Linked DNA regions of Alligator mississippiensis. The main gene of each other region encodes a partner of the protein of the gene in region 2 in a complex. Links are inferred from orthologs where the notes say so. Each region holds a gene or a part of one and is shown on either strand. Other genes may lie near its edges.

Region 1 (7,555 bases), on a different chromosome or scaffold from region 2:
ATCTGGCACAGAGAAGTCACAGACACTAAAGCCACAATATGTCATATCTAGTCTATTCCTTTTGTCCCCCGATCAATACATGTGTTATTCCCAAAGCTAGATTTTTGGTGCACTTTTCAGTTCTGGGGCATTGCTTCTATGCCTCTCCAACACCACGAAAGACTTTTAACTTTGCTATGTATTCATTCAGTGGGCAGATCTGCCCAGGCACTGAAACTGCAGCCTCAGTCCGCTGCTTTTGGAACTTTACATAGGGCTACTTGTTTGCTTTCACTTTGATCACCTGGAAGCTAGACAGCAATGTCTTTCCTCTGATAGTTGACTGCTGGTGTAAAAAAGGGACCAAAAGCATGTTTCCATCTCTGAAACATGATTTTCTGAAAATATTGGTATGAGCTGTGTGCTTGTTTCTTTATTTGAAAGTGGGTTTCTTTTCATCCCATGCATTGTCACCAGTAAGAAAGGATGCGTATGTTTACATAAGCACCATATTCGAACGTTGCCCTTAGTCAGTCTTGAAAGGCCTTAGTGAAGACAAAGCGGCACAGATGGCTCAGGCTTGTTTACAAGTTCTGTTGCTGGTATACAAACCAGAAAAGAAACTTGTTCATTCTCATGGACTGGCATTGCGTCTGCAGGACCGACAGCACTAAAAAGCAGTACATCTACTTTTGCAACCAGTCAACAGATAGGACTCCGAATGCACACACTTGTAAGCAACTTGGATGAGGAAGAAAGTGCTCTTTCTACATAGCCATTTTTCAGAGTAAATCTGTAAATTACAAGAAATGTAATACAGAAATATGAACCCATTAAACTCTAATCCTGTTCATCAGGTACTTGGAAAAGTCTGACAACAGTATAGATAAAATACAGAAACGGTACTTGAAGGAGCCTTAACTAGGTTAACTGATATTTTCCAAGCCAACTAAGACATCAGTGCAAGTTGTGTGTCTTTTGGTTGGGGCTGAAAAATTCAACCGGTGAGGTCTGTATTTAACAGCCCACCGTCACATCTGATTCTCTCAGACAGCACGTGAATATTTTAGAAACGGATCCTATCCTCTGGTCTCTGCAGGGCCTCACTGTCTGTGTTCCTATGAGCACCTTCTGGATTTCACTAGGCTATGCTGGATCTCTAGTGGCAGGAGTTCAACACCTAGGATTATCCTCAGGAACCGATGGATAATTGACTTAGCCTAGCTATTTCCAACACATCACCAGTATTCTCCTTTCCCATGCACCTATACTCAGAACAGAGACCAGCTCAACAACAAAGCACTTCCAGCTCAGTAATAAAGCATTTACACACCGGATCACCCACACACACACAACTTGACAATCCATGCGTCACTTCCTGTTGTTTAATAGGGCTTTCCAGCTTAGGTGGCTTCCCTATTTTTTATGGCTTTGGCATGTGGCTCAGGATTATTTATCCAGGGTTTGGTTTACATAGCATCTATAACTTGTTCTACTAGAACTGAACAAAAACAGTGAGCTCTTGGGTGTTTGCAACAGATAGAGTCCACTCAAATTCATGGGTGAGCTGAGCAGTTGCGCCCTCACATTCAGTACAGGACCACATTATAGTTCTTATATTGAAGGACAAAGTGCCAGAAACTGTTTTACAACCTGACAGACCTTGCTTTTAAAAAATACTTTTCAATAACCAAGTCAAGCTGTCCCAGTTTTATTAACCCTTATTACTTCTAATTTATACCCACTCAGACTGTTCTAATGCAATGGTGCTCAACCTTCCAGCCCCACGGGCCAAATGTGTGGCTCAGGGCCAGTCTGCATGCTGGATCTGGGCCTCACTGTGTGCGGGTGCAGCCTAGCACACCGGGCCACATCATCCTGCCTGTGGAGCTCTCCACAGGTCCAGAAAATTGGCAGCACGGGAGTGGCAAGTAAAGCTACCACCACTCTACCACTGCCATCTTTTTTTAATATGTGGGAAAACCCCCTGGCTGGATGACATGGCCTCCAGGGGTCCATCTGGCTGGTTGGCTAGAGGTTGAGCACCATCATGATTGTAATGAGTTCTTCACCTTCACTGGTGTTGTAACCTTTCATATGTTTGTATACAATTATACCACCATTAGACATCACTTAACCATAGTAAAACCCCTGGCATTCAGTTGCTTGAGTACTTCTTTGTAAAGCATTCCCTTGAGTTCTTTTATCTTCTTTATGCCGCCTTGGCAAGGCAAGGCTTATATTATGCCCCTCAGCCTATGCATCCTTTTATAGATGCCCCTCAGCCTAGCCTTCCAAGGCTTATATGATGCCCCTCTTTGCCATCCATCAAGACACGTACAACTCTACCACACCATTGGCAAGAGGAGCTGGTAAGACACTTAGACAGCCCTCGAGTTGCTTTGGGCCAAATGGTCATCTTATAAGTGACGTGATATTATGTGGTTGGGATACAAAGACTTTATTCCTTAAGGAGAAAGGAGGGCAAATGATACTCTTGGCACAGCCAGTCTGAATTAGGTATAGATAAATATTCCCAAAGTGCACCCCCTGCATCACCCAACCCTTTCCCTCACAGCCCCAAACAATGCTACCAGGAGTACCTTAAATTCCTGGAGTGACACTTCTGCCTTCTGAAACTTCTTCATGAACTCTGTGTTCTCTGCCTGTTCATGCACCTCCTTGGTGGCTTCCTTTATGGACTCTGACAGGTCTCTGGTTGTGCTGGGAAAATGGGCAGAAAAAGGTGTTAGCGTCTAAGGTACCTCACTATCCCCTGCACAATGAGAATTAGCTCTCTGGGAGCAAGTAAGGGGTGGAGGCCGGGAAGAGAAAGCAGTACCCCACCCCAGGAGGGCATGGGTGGCGGAGGTTCACCAGCATTCCAGCTTCTGTCCAAACAAGGCAGGGGACAGGGTGAAGACTGTCAAACCCTAGGTGGAGGGGAGTATCCTATTCCCAGTGGAGAAGAGGTAGAAATGGGACCCCAAATCCCTATCTCAAGGAACACGGGGAGATCAAGGCTGTTCCTTTCTTTGGATAATTTCCCTCTGTTTCTAGTCCCTTCGCTCACGTTTCAGGGCTGGCCGTCCTGGACGTTTCCATTTCTCTTTGCTTTTCTTTCTTCTCTTCTTTGCTCCTCTACAGCCTTCGTATGATCTTTCCCTCTTCTCCGTTCTCTCTCGTCTCAGGACTCTTGGAAGCTGCTGAGCTGAGCTGCCCGTCCCCTGCGTCCTGCTTTATACTTTGTCAGATCACGTGAGCAGCCCAGAAAACAGCTGGCCTCCATCCAAGTTTAAACTTATTGCGACATACATACTTTGCTACCAGGAGAGGGCTGAGAGACTTCTCCTAGGCAGCTTGCCCAGGCTTATTAACCCCTTTTCTGCTGTGACAATGAGAACCAGATAATCCAGAACAATAAATGGTCCAAGCTTCTTGTACATACGCTGACTTTCAAAAAAAAAGGGGGCTGGGGGGGGTCCATTTAAAGGAGGACTAAATGCAAATGAGGAACGTGGGCAAGGTCATTAGCTATCATGTTCCACAGCCAGCACAGCAAGTTGTAGTGTATTATGCGAGGACGGGGAATTGTCCCCTGCCCCATACAGAAGGCTGAATTATCCAAGTACATGTTAAGGACTTAAAAATTGATGTGCCAGGTCTGGGCCTGAGGTGGAGCTGGAGGTCTGCAAATAGTTCAAGTGACCTGGGTCTAGGGGCAAGAGTAACTACATGGCTCATTAATTGGCTGGCTTGTGTCTGCGACTGGTTTGTGTCTGCCAACTAACTTATCTGGGGAAATTAATAACTGGAAGTCAGAGGGCCCATGGGGGGTGCTTATCTCCAAATTTCAGAAGCTTGGCCTGTGACAATGAAAAATGGATCCACTGGCTTTGCTTTGGGGATTACGGTTAAAATGGGACTGCAGTTCTGCCAAGGAAACAGGGCAAGAGCCGCTTGACTTGGACTCCTAGCCTGCACGGTACCTGGCACTGATTACAGACTGCTCCAGTACTCTGGTGTGAAATTAGGCCCTCAAGAATTGTATGCCTTCATATGTTTTTGCATCAAGTGGAGTTAGTTGTCTGCTCAGGAAATATGATGCAGCATTTTTACAGCTGACTCAGCGGGGCCACTCTCCGACTACCCCTTTCTCTTAAAGCAACAGGAGCCTTCCAGAAAAGTCTTGTAAAGCCCTCGGCTTCCTTTCTCAGTCCTATATCTTTGCATTCTTCCTGCTGCTATTTTTCTGCATTGACCATGCAGGATAAAATAAATGTATCACACATATGCAGGTATAACATGCGTCTCTACTGAGATGCTGCATCCTTCACAAAGCCGGGAATATGCTTTTGATTTTGGATGTCCTGTGCAGTGATCAGAAGCTGCACGTGGAGAATCTGGAGAGACTCCGTGTCAGTGAAGGTGGCAGCCATGAAGTGACTATTCTCCTCTTGCATTATTCTCCTCTGGGACACAGAAATTCAGCTCTCTTCAGCAAGCCCCGGTAGAATGTGGGAAACTCTAATATATGCATTACTGTTGATAGAGTACATTTGCCTGGTATGAAAGAAACTCCTCCCTTTATTTTTTTATTTAAGTCTGTGATATTTGAAGGCATGCTGAAGAGCTGGCCTCTGCAACACTTCCTTATGGTCTGCCCTAGCACTATTTGCCCTGCCTCAGTTTCCAAAGGAAATTTTACTCACCTTTTTATCTTGACTCTTTCCTGGAGGATCTGACATGCAACAATACTGGTGCTACAGTTACAGGAAAAGTGCCAAGAGGCTGGACACTGCAAAACCAACTTAAGTGTTATGAACTTAAAGTGAACTTCAATGAAATGAAATGATGGTCCTGAGGGGAAAAGAGACTATGTCCTAGGCCTTTTCCCCAAGAGTTCTGATCCTCCAGGCTTTTACATTGAAGTACTTTACAAAAAACCAGTACTGTCTGTCTGCTTGGGGTCTGTCCCTCCCTGGGGCCTGCTATGAAGACCCTTTGGAGGAGAACCCTTTCACAGTCCCACTTCTGCGTTTCCCTTCTCCAGCCACGGTGTGCAAGCCCAGAGGATAGGCAAAGCAGAGAATACAGCGTTCTCTAAAAACTACCGCGTGACAAACAAGGGGTATTTGCCAGACCGGGGCACAGCTGAATGTAGGCTCTTGGTGTGAGAGGGAAAGGTTGACTCAGTAATTTTAGCCTGTAATGGAACAGAGAGAAAGCGGCTTGAATCCCTCATTAAAAGAGACACAGTAGAGGTGGCAACAGCTTCACAGAGTTTAAAAATCATTCCCCTAAGAACAGAAGCAAGTCTCATTGGGGAGAAGTGTTATAGCAACCCCAGCCCGCAATGGGCAATGGCATCATTGAGAGGATGTTAACAGTGCACAGACTCATTTTTCATTACCTACAGCAATATGGCCCAGCCTAGTTACCACAGATATGGTGCAGCTGTTGAGAGTCATTTAACAATTTCAGTTTAGAGATCAAAGGTGCGGTCTGAGTTGCAGAGCAGTGGTCAGAGTAGGAACTCTGAAAATATATGCTCCTAACATGTCAAGTATGCCTATATAGAGGTGGATCCCAAAAGCTTTGCACTTCTAGAGACATGGGAATAGAGTGCGGAGGGATTCCTCAGTTAGTCACTCTGCGTAATGGGTTTGCACAGCACAGACAAATTTCAAGGAAAAAGTGTTGACAAGGTGAGAGGCAAAACAATGGGAGTTTGCAGTAAAAAATACCCCATGCTGATGGCTATGCAGTCCAGACAGTGTATCCAGTGTGCCCGTAGGAATCCTAGTCAAGGAAGGGCTCCAAATGCAAGGAGAACTCCTAGCATTGGCAACCAGCCTGAACGTATGGTAACACTCATGCCAAGGGCTGCAATAAGAAATGCTCCAGAGGACACATGCTATGTATTAAATAAGTGGCCCTGGAAACCAGTGAGCTCCCCAGGGCACTTGGATGGTACACAAGGAGGTTACGTTAATTCTGCTGGTAGTGTGGTGGGAGTACACAGGCACCGACAAGCTCTGCGGGCACATACAGTCCCACTCGACTCAGGGCATACAGATCAGGAAAACACTAGCAAATCCTGCAGCACGCTCACTGTACCGACAAAGTCCCCCCATCTGTGGCTTCATCTGTTCACTGGTCCCTGTCGCTCCACAAACACACCAGGGGAAAAAAAACCACGGGCAGTGAGAGGACAGGAAGACAGGGCCAAAGGAAAATTACATATTAAATAGCAAAATAAGCCCTGCTTCTATAAACACTCCCACCTGTACTTAGCTTTTTGCTGATGTGTAGTCATTTTGAAGTCAAAAGTAGATGATTCCCATATGCAAGATGAAGAACATGCATAAGGGTTTTCACTACTGGGGGACCACATCCTTTGACAGCTTCACTAACAGGGACATTTTCTGGAAGACTGTGTCTTTCTCAGACTGAGGGAATCAGCAGGAGTTAGAAAGAAAGCTCTGCTTTACCACAGCTCCCAACATCACAAAAGGCTGTTGACCGTCCCATTCCAGTTCCTTCCAGTCAGCTTTGTTAGCTCTAAGGGGACAAATAACTTGCGTCTCCTTCCCTGCATAGTACATGCCTAGATTTAAGATAACAGAAACCAGCTTGCATGGAATAATTTCCAGAGCATTCTGAGGTCTGATTGTGTCCAGAATGGGACTGGAGCCAAGTCAAACAGCTGCAATCTCAGCCCAGGAAGCCATGAGATTGACACACAGGCTCACATGAGCGCCTGGCCTGCTGTGACTCAGCAAAAAAGCCCTGCCCGGATGGAAACAGTTACTCAGCATTCCAGGGCGTAAACCTAGGCTGCCGTGACTCAGCAAAACGAGGAGGCAAGCATGCACTTTTTGAGGCTGTTGAAAGGGTTTCTCAGGATAATCAAAAGGCTTGTCTCCTCCTCTGCTGTGTAAGCTTTAGGATTCGGCATGCCGTAGTTTGGGAGTCTGCAAAACAGCTGGAAATCCTGCTAGAAACCTGCAGTTCTGCAGTTCTAAAGCTGCCAGTGTCTCTAGTTCCAGATAAGCTAAATAAAGTGACTATTTATTGTACCCACCTAAATAGGGCATGCCCCGATGAGTGTGCACAAACAGGGGCACGCATTTCCCGCTGGACAAATAGCAGTGGAACATATTTGTGCTGCTGCTGGTTGTCCCAGCATGCCCCTGCATGCATGCTTTGGGGTGCAGCAAATAGACCCTGGTGGGCTAGGGAGGCCGCCTGGCCTGGGGGCCTCCTCGGGCTCTGTTTCTGGTGGTGTACACTGTTACCACATGTGCCGCACCACTTTTTTTAGTGGTGTTTTTTTTGACACCAGGATCTGTCAGTGTCAAAAAAACCTGTCGTGCTGCTAATCAGCAGCGTGGTGAATGGGTGTGCCTGTGCCATGTGCGGTTTGCGGCACTTCAGACGGGTTTGAAGTGCTGCAAAATGCACGTGCATGCTCCTTGAGACATGCTTATAAATCCTTGCCTCTCATGTTTCCTAGACCATTCTGGGGGCAACATCACACCAACCCTACTGTAAAATGTAAGGGTTTGTACAA
Region 2 (7,779 bases):
CCATCTTTCCCCGTTTTTAAGCTTTCCCTTCAAGGACTCCTGCCTTGCAAATATTCATCTGAGGGACTGAAGGAAAAATGAAACAGTTACTGTAAGCACCACCGGGGAACTATAATTCTTGCTATGACCTTTGGGGCAGCCCTGTAGGAACTGAACAAAAAACTGCCTCCAACAAAATGCTATGGGATTTGTTCCCTTCAAGTGTGGTCCTAGGAGGTTTCCAGGTAAGCTTCAGAGGCGGTAACAGACTGGTATGAAGGAGGTGGTTCTGGCAAATCAGTAGGGGGTGCTCTTCCCTTGAGACTTGTAGGATGTGCTAAGTAAAGACCCAGCCCAGCTCCTAGCAGAAATTACTGGGTAGGATCAACATGCACTGGTAAAAGCTGCTCCTCCAGTTTACCCCAGGCCATGGCTGCAGATGGAGCAATTTCCAGTACAGGTTTCCCTCTATCTATGCTGTACATGCGTTCCCAGAGAACGGCACATAAATCAAATTCGCATAAAGCAAACATACTTTGCAATGTAACAAATAGGAATATGTTCCTATGGCGGTGAGGGAGGGAGGCTGGGACTAGGGAAGGGGCAGGGGTGCTGCTCCCAGGGCTGCACAACACAGCAAAACAGAGGGAACAGAACGGCCCCAGGAACAGCCAGGAGCAGCAGCACTAGCTGTTAGGCTGCACCATGCTCCACCTGTCCCCACTCACCTCTGCTCCTGCACTATGCAGTACCCTGGTGCAGGCAGCTGGTGTTGGCTGTTCCCAAGGCCACTGCAGCCGGGGCTGGGGTGAGTGGGGACACGGCCCTTTCCCCTCCCCCCGCAGACTTACCTGCTTGGGCGGGGGGGAGGAGGGGGGGCACGCATGTTTACTGATTGCGTAAGAGCAAATTTACCTCACATATAATAAACTATGGGTTTAAATATGCTCATTGCATAAGAGCAAGTTTGCATATAAAGAACCCACATAAAATCGAGGGAAACCTGTGCATCTAGAGCACCTAGGAACTAGAAGCTCCACACAAAAGTAAAGATTCACATTCAGAAATGGGAAACATTTTAGTAACAAAACTGACCAAATCTCAGTTCCTTCTGGCGTTAGACCTGCAAATCAACTGTCAAACAAAGACTGATTAGAAACCAAAGCTGAACGTGCAGGAGAATTTCCACGATACAATCGTCCAGTTTTAGTCGGATTAGATGGGAGCTTCCTCTTCACTACATTTGTTCCTCTGAATTTCTTTAAAAGGCTTTTCCACTGCCTAATTTCAACCCCAATATTTTTTTTTAAAGAATGGCTACACCAAACAATATCTGCCCCAAACCTATTTTCAGTGCACATACCAGAGTGCTTCCGCCCATGCATAAGAAACCTAATAAACAGGGATCCTGATTTTCTACAATTTAAAAAAAAAACCCTAATTTTCAGTTAAGAAAAAAAACAAACAACCCCAAATCCATATTTTTCCACAAGAAAAATATGGATTTGGGGTTACTTTTATTTATTTTTAACCAAAAATTGGATATTTTTTTTAATCAGAGAAAACCAGGATCCCTGTTTACCAGGTTCCTTATGAATGGGAGGAAGCACCCTGGTATGTGCACTGAAAATAGGTTTGGGGCAAATGTTATTTGGTGTAAGCATTCAAGTCTACTCTACCAATTAAACCTGGATGCTGCAATCACAAAAGCACTGTACTGTTGGGTATTAAACATCAAAAGTTAGAGCAGGTTGGAGGAGTGGAAGTTTTCACCAGTTCCTTCAGCAAAATTATTCCACAAAGTCACAACTTCACTGTCAGGAGCTATCCCAGCTGTTCAACCCTTCCTACTCTTTAGTTTCACTCCAGCTATAAGAGATGTAGAAACCAGGATCTACACAAACAGGCCGACGGACTTGGTTTGTTTAGTCTAGAAAGGAGACTGGGAAGATTATAAGAGTTTCCCATGTGCCGAAGGCTGTTACAAGGAGAAGGGTGATCAGTTGTTCTCCTTTTCCACCAGCGGGATGAGGCCAAACCGTCTCAAGGGCACCAGAGACCAGCCTGGCTGGTCAAGAAACGACGAGACACAAAAGCTTCTGGGCGCGGAGCAGCGCAGGCCGCCGCGGGAGCCCCTTCCTTGGCAGCTTTTCAGAGCAGGTCGGACAATGCGGCGGGACGGCCCGGCGCAGGGTTCTCCGCGGGGCCGCAGCGCGGGGAAGTGGCCGCCGCCGCTTGGGCCCGGCCCGGCCCGCGCTGCTCCTCGCCGAAAGGAGCGGGCGAGGCCGAGCGCGACGGTTGCCGGCGGCCCCCTCCCCGGCGGAAACTGAACCCCGGCCCCGCCACACCGAGCCCAGGCGTCGCGGCGCCCCCGCGAGACACCCCACGCGGACCCGGTTCCCCCGCCCGCCCCACGCGGCGCCGCACGCACCTCCCCGCACCCGGCGGCGACTCCCAGGCCCGGCGCGGCCGGCACTTCCGGCGGCACAGACCACTCCCGGGACGGGGGGGGGGGCCGGTTCTGCCGCCTCCTGCGCAGTCGCGGCAGCTCCCTCCAGCCAATAGCGGAGCCGCCCGCGGAATGCTCACCCCCCTCCCTCCCACGGCCTTGGTACGGCCCGGTGCCGGCAGCAGCCTGGGCTGGTCGCGGAGCTGCGCCGGGAGGGCTGGGGGTCGCCCCCGCTTCCCCGCCCGCGGCTCGGGCTGCGACGTGGAACCCGGCGGGGCTGCCCGGCTGTCGCGGCCTCGCTCCCGCTCCCCAGTGCGGAGCTGCCCGCTCGGCCCTTCAGGCCGGTGACACTAGCTCGACCTGCCCCAACCGGGACGGCTCCGGGCCGGGCCACGTGTGGAGCAGACGCTCGTGAGAGCCGCGCTGACCTTCTCAGGGTGCCAGAGGTTCTTCCAGATGTGATCAGCTGTGGCTCTGTTCTTGTCCTTTGATTGCCTTTACCATCCAGGTAGTGTTATAGTGAGGTAGCGGAGCCGGTGCGCTCCGGGTTGCTCAGCCCCGAGGTGTCTGTAGTGTGGTCAAGTGAGAGCGGTGCCTGTTTCCACGGAATGAAAGTCTCCTCCTCCTGCACTGACTTGCCCTCCTGTTTCCTTTTATCTACAGAGCCAAGCCTGCCTAGTTCAAGCAGGGGTAGAAATCATCTGTGGAAGTGGGCGGGAAGAGAGGGAGGAGTTCTGCTCAGCTGCACTATCTGGATTCATCCTTGTAAGGGGTCATTTGGCAGAGCAGTCAGGAACATGATAACACTTCTGTTGTTCGAAAGTGTCCCTGAGATGTGCCACGCTCTCCTGGCCCAGGGTAGGATAGAAATAAGCATGTTCCTACAGCAGGATACGAGGTTCCTTTCCTTTCCGTGCTGGCAGCTACTTACACAATTAACTGTTTTCCTGCTGTCCCTCTCGTGTCTTTGCTGTGCAGCCATCCTTCAACCCTGCTTAGTTGAAATCAGTGGAGCATCAGGGTGCTCTTGGAGAGATTTAACAGTCCAGAAGGGCTGTTATCCTTCAGGAATCCAGGGGTCATGCTAAAGGCATCTGGATGGGATCAAAGTAGGATGCAGAGCTGTGCCTTTTTCTGCCTGAATTAAATTCAGGTTCAGTCTGCATTACAAATGCTTTGCCATGACAGCAATAGTAGTGGAGCTATACTGGTAAAGGCCCTCACCAGGAGACTGGAGCTCAGTCTGTTTAGTGTGGTGGCAAAGCTATGTCAACTAGGTGTTAAACAAATAACCACCCCCGCTGATACGACTGTAGGCAGGCCCCTTGTCTGGGGACAGCTAGGCTGACAGAAGGGGCCTTCTGCTAGCTCAGCTTCTGCCTTTTGAGGGTGTGATCTGGCTAATAAAAAACCCCTCTGTTGCCATATGTTGCATCTCCACAAGGGGGTCCTGCCGCTATTCCCAACTCCTGCACAGCTATGGCTGCAGCAGCAGCAGCCCGATAATGGAGAGAGGCTCTCAGCTTATACCAGCAACAGACAGTCTTGCTCATTAAGTTAACCCACTGCCTGAGATGACATAGACCAGCAAAAGGACGCTCATAATGGGGGTAAGGGGCTCCTGGTACATTTACATTGGCTAGGGGTGTCATGTTCATGCTTTTAACCACCATTATTTTGCTAGTAGGATTTCATAGTGTGGACCTGTACCAAGATGCACTGTGCTGTACCTGGACAAAGTGTTATGCAGAAGCTGTTCTTTTGCCTGCCTCCGTGCCAGTCTTCCTTTTGTCATGGTATCAGCAGAAATAAGAAACATTTTCTCGTAGACACATAGGATTACCTGAATATCCATTGAGACCCTGATTCTGCCGCTGCACCTTTTCCTGGGATGCCTTGCTCGGAGGATATTATGGAGCAAAGGTGCCCAATCTATCCCTTAAGATACCATGTCAACAATAACATGGAATGTCAACAGTTTTGAGTCACGAGTTACAAATATGTAGGTAGGTGTTATTATTGTATGTACAGTGAATTCATGTGGGCAATCAGTAGCAGCTGTATAATTAATCTGTGTGTGTGCATATAGTTACATGGGTTTACATCAGTGCCCTGGAATGTGCATTTGTTCCAGGAATGTACAGCACCTTGTGCGGGAGGGTCCTGGTCAACAATAATTCACATTTAAATAATATTATTTTTTCATAAGCAAAACTATAAGGTATATTTTTCAATTAGACTGATTTTGCTGCTTGGATTTTCTTTTTAATCTTCAGCTGTGAAAGGCAACCAGGTCATAAGCTGGCTCCTGACTACTAACACTTCACCATGCTGACGTTTAAAATAAGCTGTTACTAGACATCTCATCCCTTTTGATCCTTTCCCTTCTACTTTAGTCTCTTACTTCACTAATGAAAGAGAACTAAGATACTGCAGATTAGCTTTCATTTGTCATGATATAAAGCATACACACTGGATACATGAAGACCCACTCACTTTTTCCTAGCAAAAACTTGCATGCCTGCAGTCCTTCCCATCAGCCAATATTTCTTATCTTCTTGAGAAAATTGATCAAGATAGTTATTTTCTTATGTGGACATTATTCTAGAATAAAGAGTTTTCCCCTGAAAAATAATTAGTGCTGTTCTGTAATCATAGGAAATATGGCTGGAAAGGGTCATCTAGTCCAGCCCTCTGCTCAAGGCCTGCCTGATTAAGCCAAGTGTCTTTCTAACCTGCTCTTGAAAACTTCCAAGAATGTAGATTCCACAGCTTCTTTAGGCTCCTCGACCACCCTCAGTTAGGAAGTTCCTCCTAATCTCCAATCTAAATTTTCCCCGTTGCAGCTTGAGGGGTAACATCCCCTATAGCCACAGAGGCAAAGCCTATTTCCTTCCTTTCTATAATCACCCTGCAGGTATTTGAAGACTGTTGTCAAATCCGCCCCCCCCACCGGTCTTCTTTTCTCCAAACTAAAATAACCCTCGTTTTCAGCCTTTCCTCATGGGTCTCATATCACAGGCCCCTGATCATTTTTGTCACTCTGGACACTGGACTCTTTCCAATTGGTCCAAATCCTTCTTGAAGCGTGGGTCCTAAACCTGGACAAAAAACTCCATGTGAGGCCTCACCAGTGCTGAATAGAGGAGAAGAATCGCTTCCCTTGATTTGCAAGTCACTCCTGTTAATATAATCCAGGATGTTGTTTGCTCCTCTCCCCCACTGCCCAACAAGAGCACACTGCTGGCTTGTGTTCAGCCTATGGCCCACCATAACCTCCAAGTCCTACTCTGCAGTACTGCAGCCTAGCTACTCATTCCTCAGTCTGTATTTATGCCTGTGGGTATTCTATCGCAAGTGCAGGCCTTTGCACTTGTTCTTGCTGAATCTCATCTGATTGATTCCAGACCAACCTGATTCAATCCAGGTTATTTTAGATCTCCTAGCCCTAACTTCCAGAGCATCCTCAATTCCACCCAACATGGTGTCGTCCACAAATTTGACAAGCAAGCACTCGATCCTATCTTCCAAAACTATGATGAAAATGTTAAACAATACCAGACCCAAGACAGAGCTCTGATGAGTCCCACTTGATACTTCCTCCCAGCTAGACATCAGGCCATTGAGGACTACTCGCTGAGTATGATGATTCAACCAGGTTTTTTTAATCTACTTTACAATACCTTCAGCTAGTCTGTATTTCCTTAGGTTGTTAATATGAATGTTGTAGGACAGTGTCAAAAGCCTTGCTGGTGTCAATGTATATCATATCCACTGCTCTTCCCCCATTCACAGGGCCTGTCACCTTATCATAGAAGGAAATCAGGTTGGTCAGGCACGACTTGCTATTTGTGAATCCATGCTGTCTGTTTGAAATCACCTTGTTCTCCTCTAAGTGTTTCACAATGCATTCCTTGAGACCCAATCCATGCTGGCTGTCAGTGAACTCCCATGGTTGAGGCTGATCAGTCCCACAGATCAACTAAAGGGTTGTAAATGAGTCATTTATGACTAACAAGGCCCATCCTAGAGCCACATACTCTCTGTCAAATGCTACAGGTGGTTAAAGGAAGGGGTCAGAGCATTTCTTGTTCTTGTTTCCTTTCCTTTCATTTATGTCATTTTTCTGTCTCCAGGGTGAGACAGTTTTCCTCAAAGTAAGATGTACCTTCTCTCACAAGGCATTGCCATGTAGCCCTGTCCAAGCTAATTTTTCCCCAATTTGTGGTGTGTCTGCCACACTTAATGCTCACCTTGAGGGTGTCCTTGAAGCATTTCCTCTGGCCCCCATGTGTCCTTCGTTCTTAGCCGAGTTGGGAGTATAGCAGTTATTTTGGTAAATGTACATCAGGCATGCACACACAGTGCCCTATCCACTGCAGTTGATGTTGAGTAATCAGTGCTTCCCTAATGGTGGTGCTAACAGGGCCAGATTAACGCATAGGCAAACTAGGCACATGGCTAGGGCCCTGAGCTGTGGGGACCCCAGGTCCTTTCCTCCATGGTGGTGGTGTGAATGGCTTCATCCACCTCCCTTCCCTTCCCTTCCCTTCCCTTCCCTTCCCTTCCCTTCCCTTCCCTTCCATTGGCCTTGGTGCCGCTGCCACCACTGTCCCCTAATAGCAGCAGTGGCAGCACTGGGGTGGGGAGGGAGGTCTTGACCAGCCCAGGGCCCACAAGTTTGCTTGCCAAGGGCCCACTAAAGGGTTAATCCAGCCCTGGGTGCTAGTGTCAGTGAGGACACTGGCATTTATGTGATGATCCTCCCTCTCTATGCCAAGGATCTTCCAGAGGTAGCGCTGGTGATGGTATTCCAGACTGTTCAGGTGGTCCCTGTAGATCATCCAAACTTCACAACTATAGAGAAGAGTTAGGATTGCCACAACCTTATATGGTAGGAGCTTTGTTTGAGTCCTGATGTCATGTCCAGTCTTCTGAAGGCAGAGCTGTCACATCAGATCCTACGCTGGAGTTCCTCGTTGATGTTAGCCTTCTTTGAGAGAGAGCTGCCAAAGATCCTCCCTGGTATTGAGGTCAGGCTGATTGATCTGTAGTTCCCTGCATCCTCCTTCTTCCCTTTCTTTAAATTTGTCCTTTGCCAACCATTTGGAACCTCACTCGACTTCCATGAGTTGTCAAAAAAGATTGCCAGTAGCTCTAAAATTACCTCAGCCAATTCTTTCAGTACCCTCAAGTGCATCCCATCAGGTCTTGCCAACTTGAAAGCAGCTAGCTTCTCTAAGTAATCCTGAACCTGTTCTGCCATTACTCTAAACTGCTTGTCTCCTTCCCTATCTCTGCTGGGAATTGCACTTGTCAGATGGTAGCTGCCCCTTTTCATAAAAACTGAG

The links. Proteins that work in one complex are often made in the same cells at the same time.
Region 1: the proteins of NADPH--cytochrome P450 reductase (region 2) and HMOX1 are in contact, whole or in part, in a crystal structure (PDB 3WKT), measured with the Rattus norvegicus proteins. The link is inferred for Alligator mississippiensis from reciprocal best matches to the Homo sapiens genes POR and HMOX1. Residues at the interface, in NP_113764.1 of Rattus norvegicus: Thr88, Thr177, Asp208, Asp209, Arg313, Arg514, Lys515, Gln517, Arg519, Leu520, Phe522, Lys523, His626, Lys665, Met667, Thr668, Lys669, Gly670, Tyr672; in NP_036712.1 of Rattus norvegicus: Asp12, Ser14, Glu15, Gln38, Ala75, Pro76, Glu81, Lys149, Ile150, Lys153, Ser171, Asp173, Asn174, Thr176, Lys177, Phe178, Lys179, Gln180, Leu181, Arg183, Ala184, Arg185, Asn187, Thr188.

Annotation. Positions count from the first base shown.
Region 1 is NC_081827.1:101,609,489-101,617,043, forward strand, and holds the start of HMOX1 (heme oxygenase 1), read right to left. Parts: upstream 3,205-7,555; 5' UTR 3,085-3,204; coding exon 3,053-3,084; intron 2,704-3,052; coding exon 2,583-2,703; intron 1-2,582.
Region 2 is NC_081837.1:17,426,369-17,434,147, forward strand, and holds the start of NADPH--cytochrome P450 reductase, read right to left. Parts: upstream 3,094-7,779; 5' UTR 2,857-3,093; intron 2,500-2,856; exon of another isoform or gene 2,411-2,499; intron 1-2,410. UniProt on the Homo sapiens protein: This enzyme is required for electron transfer from NADP to cytochrome P450 in microsomes. It can also provide electron transfer to heme oxygenase and cytochrome B5.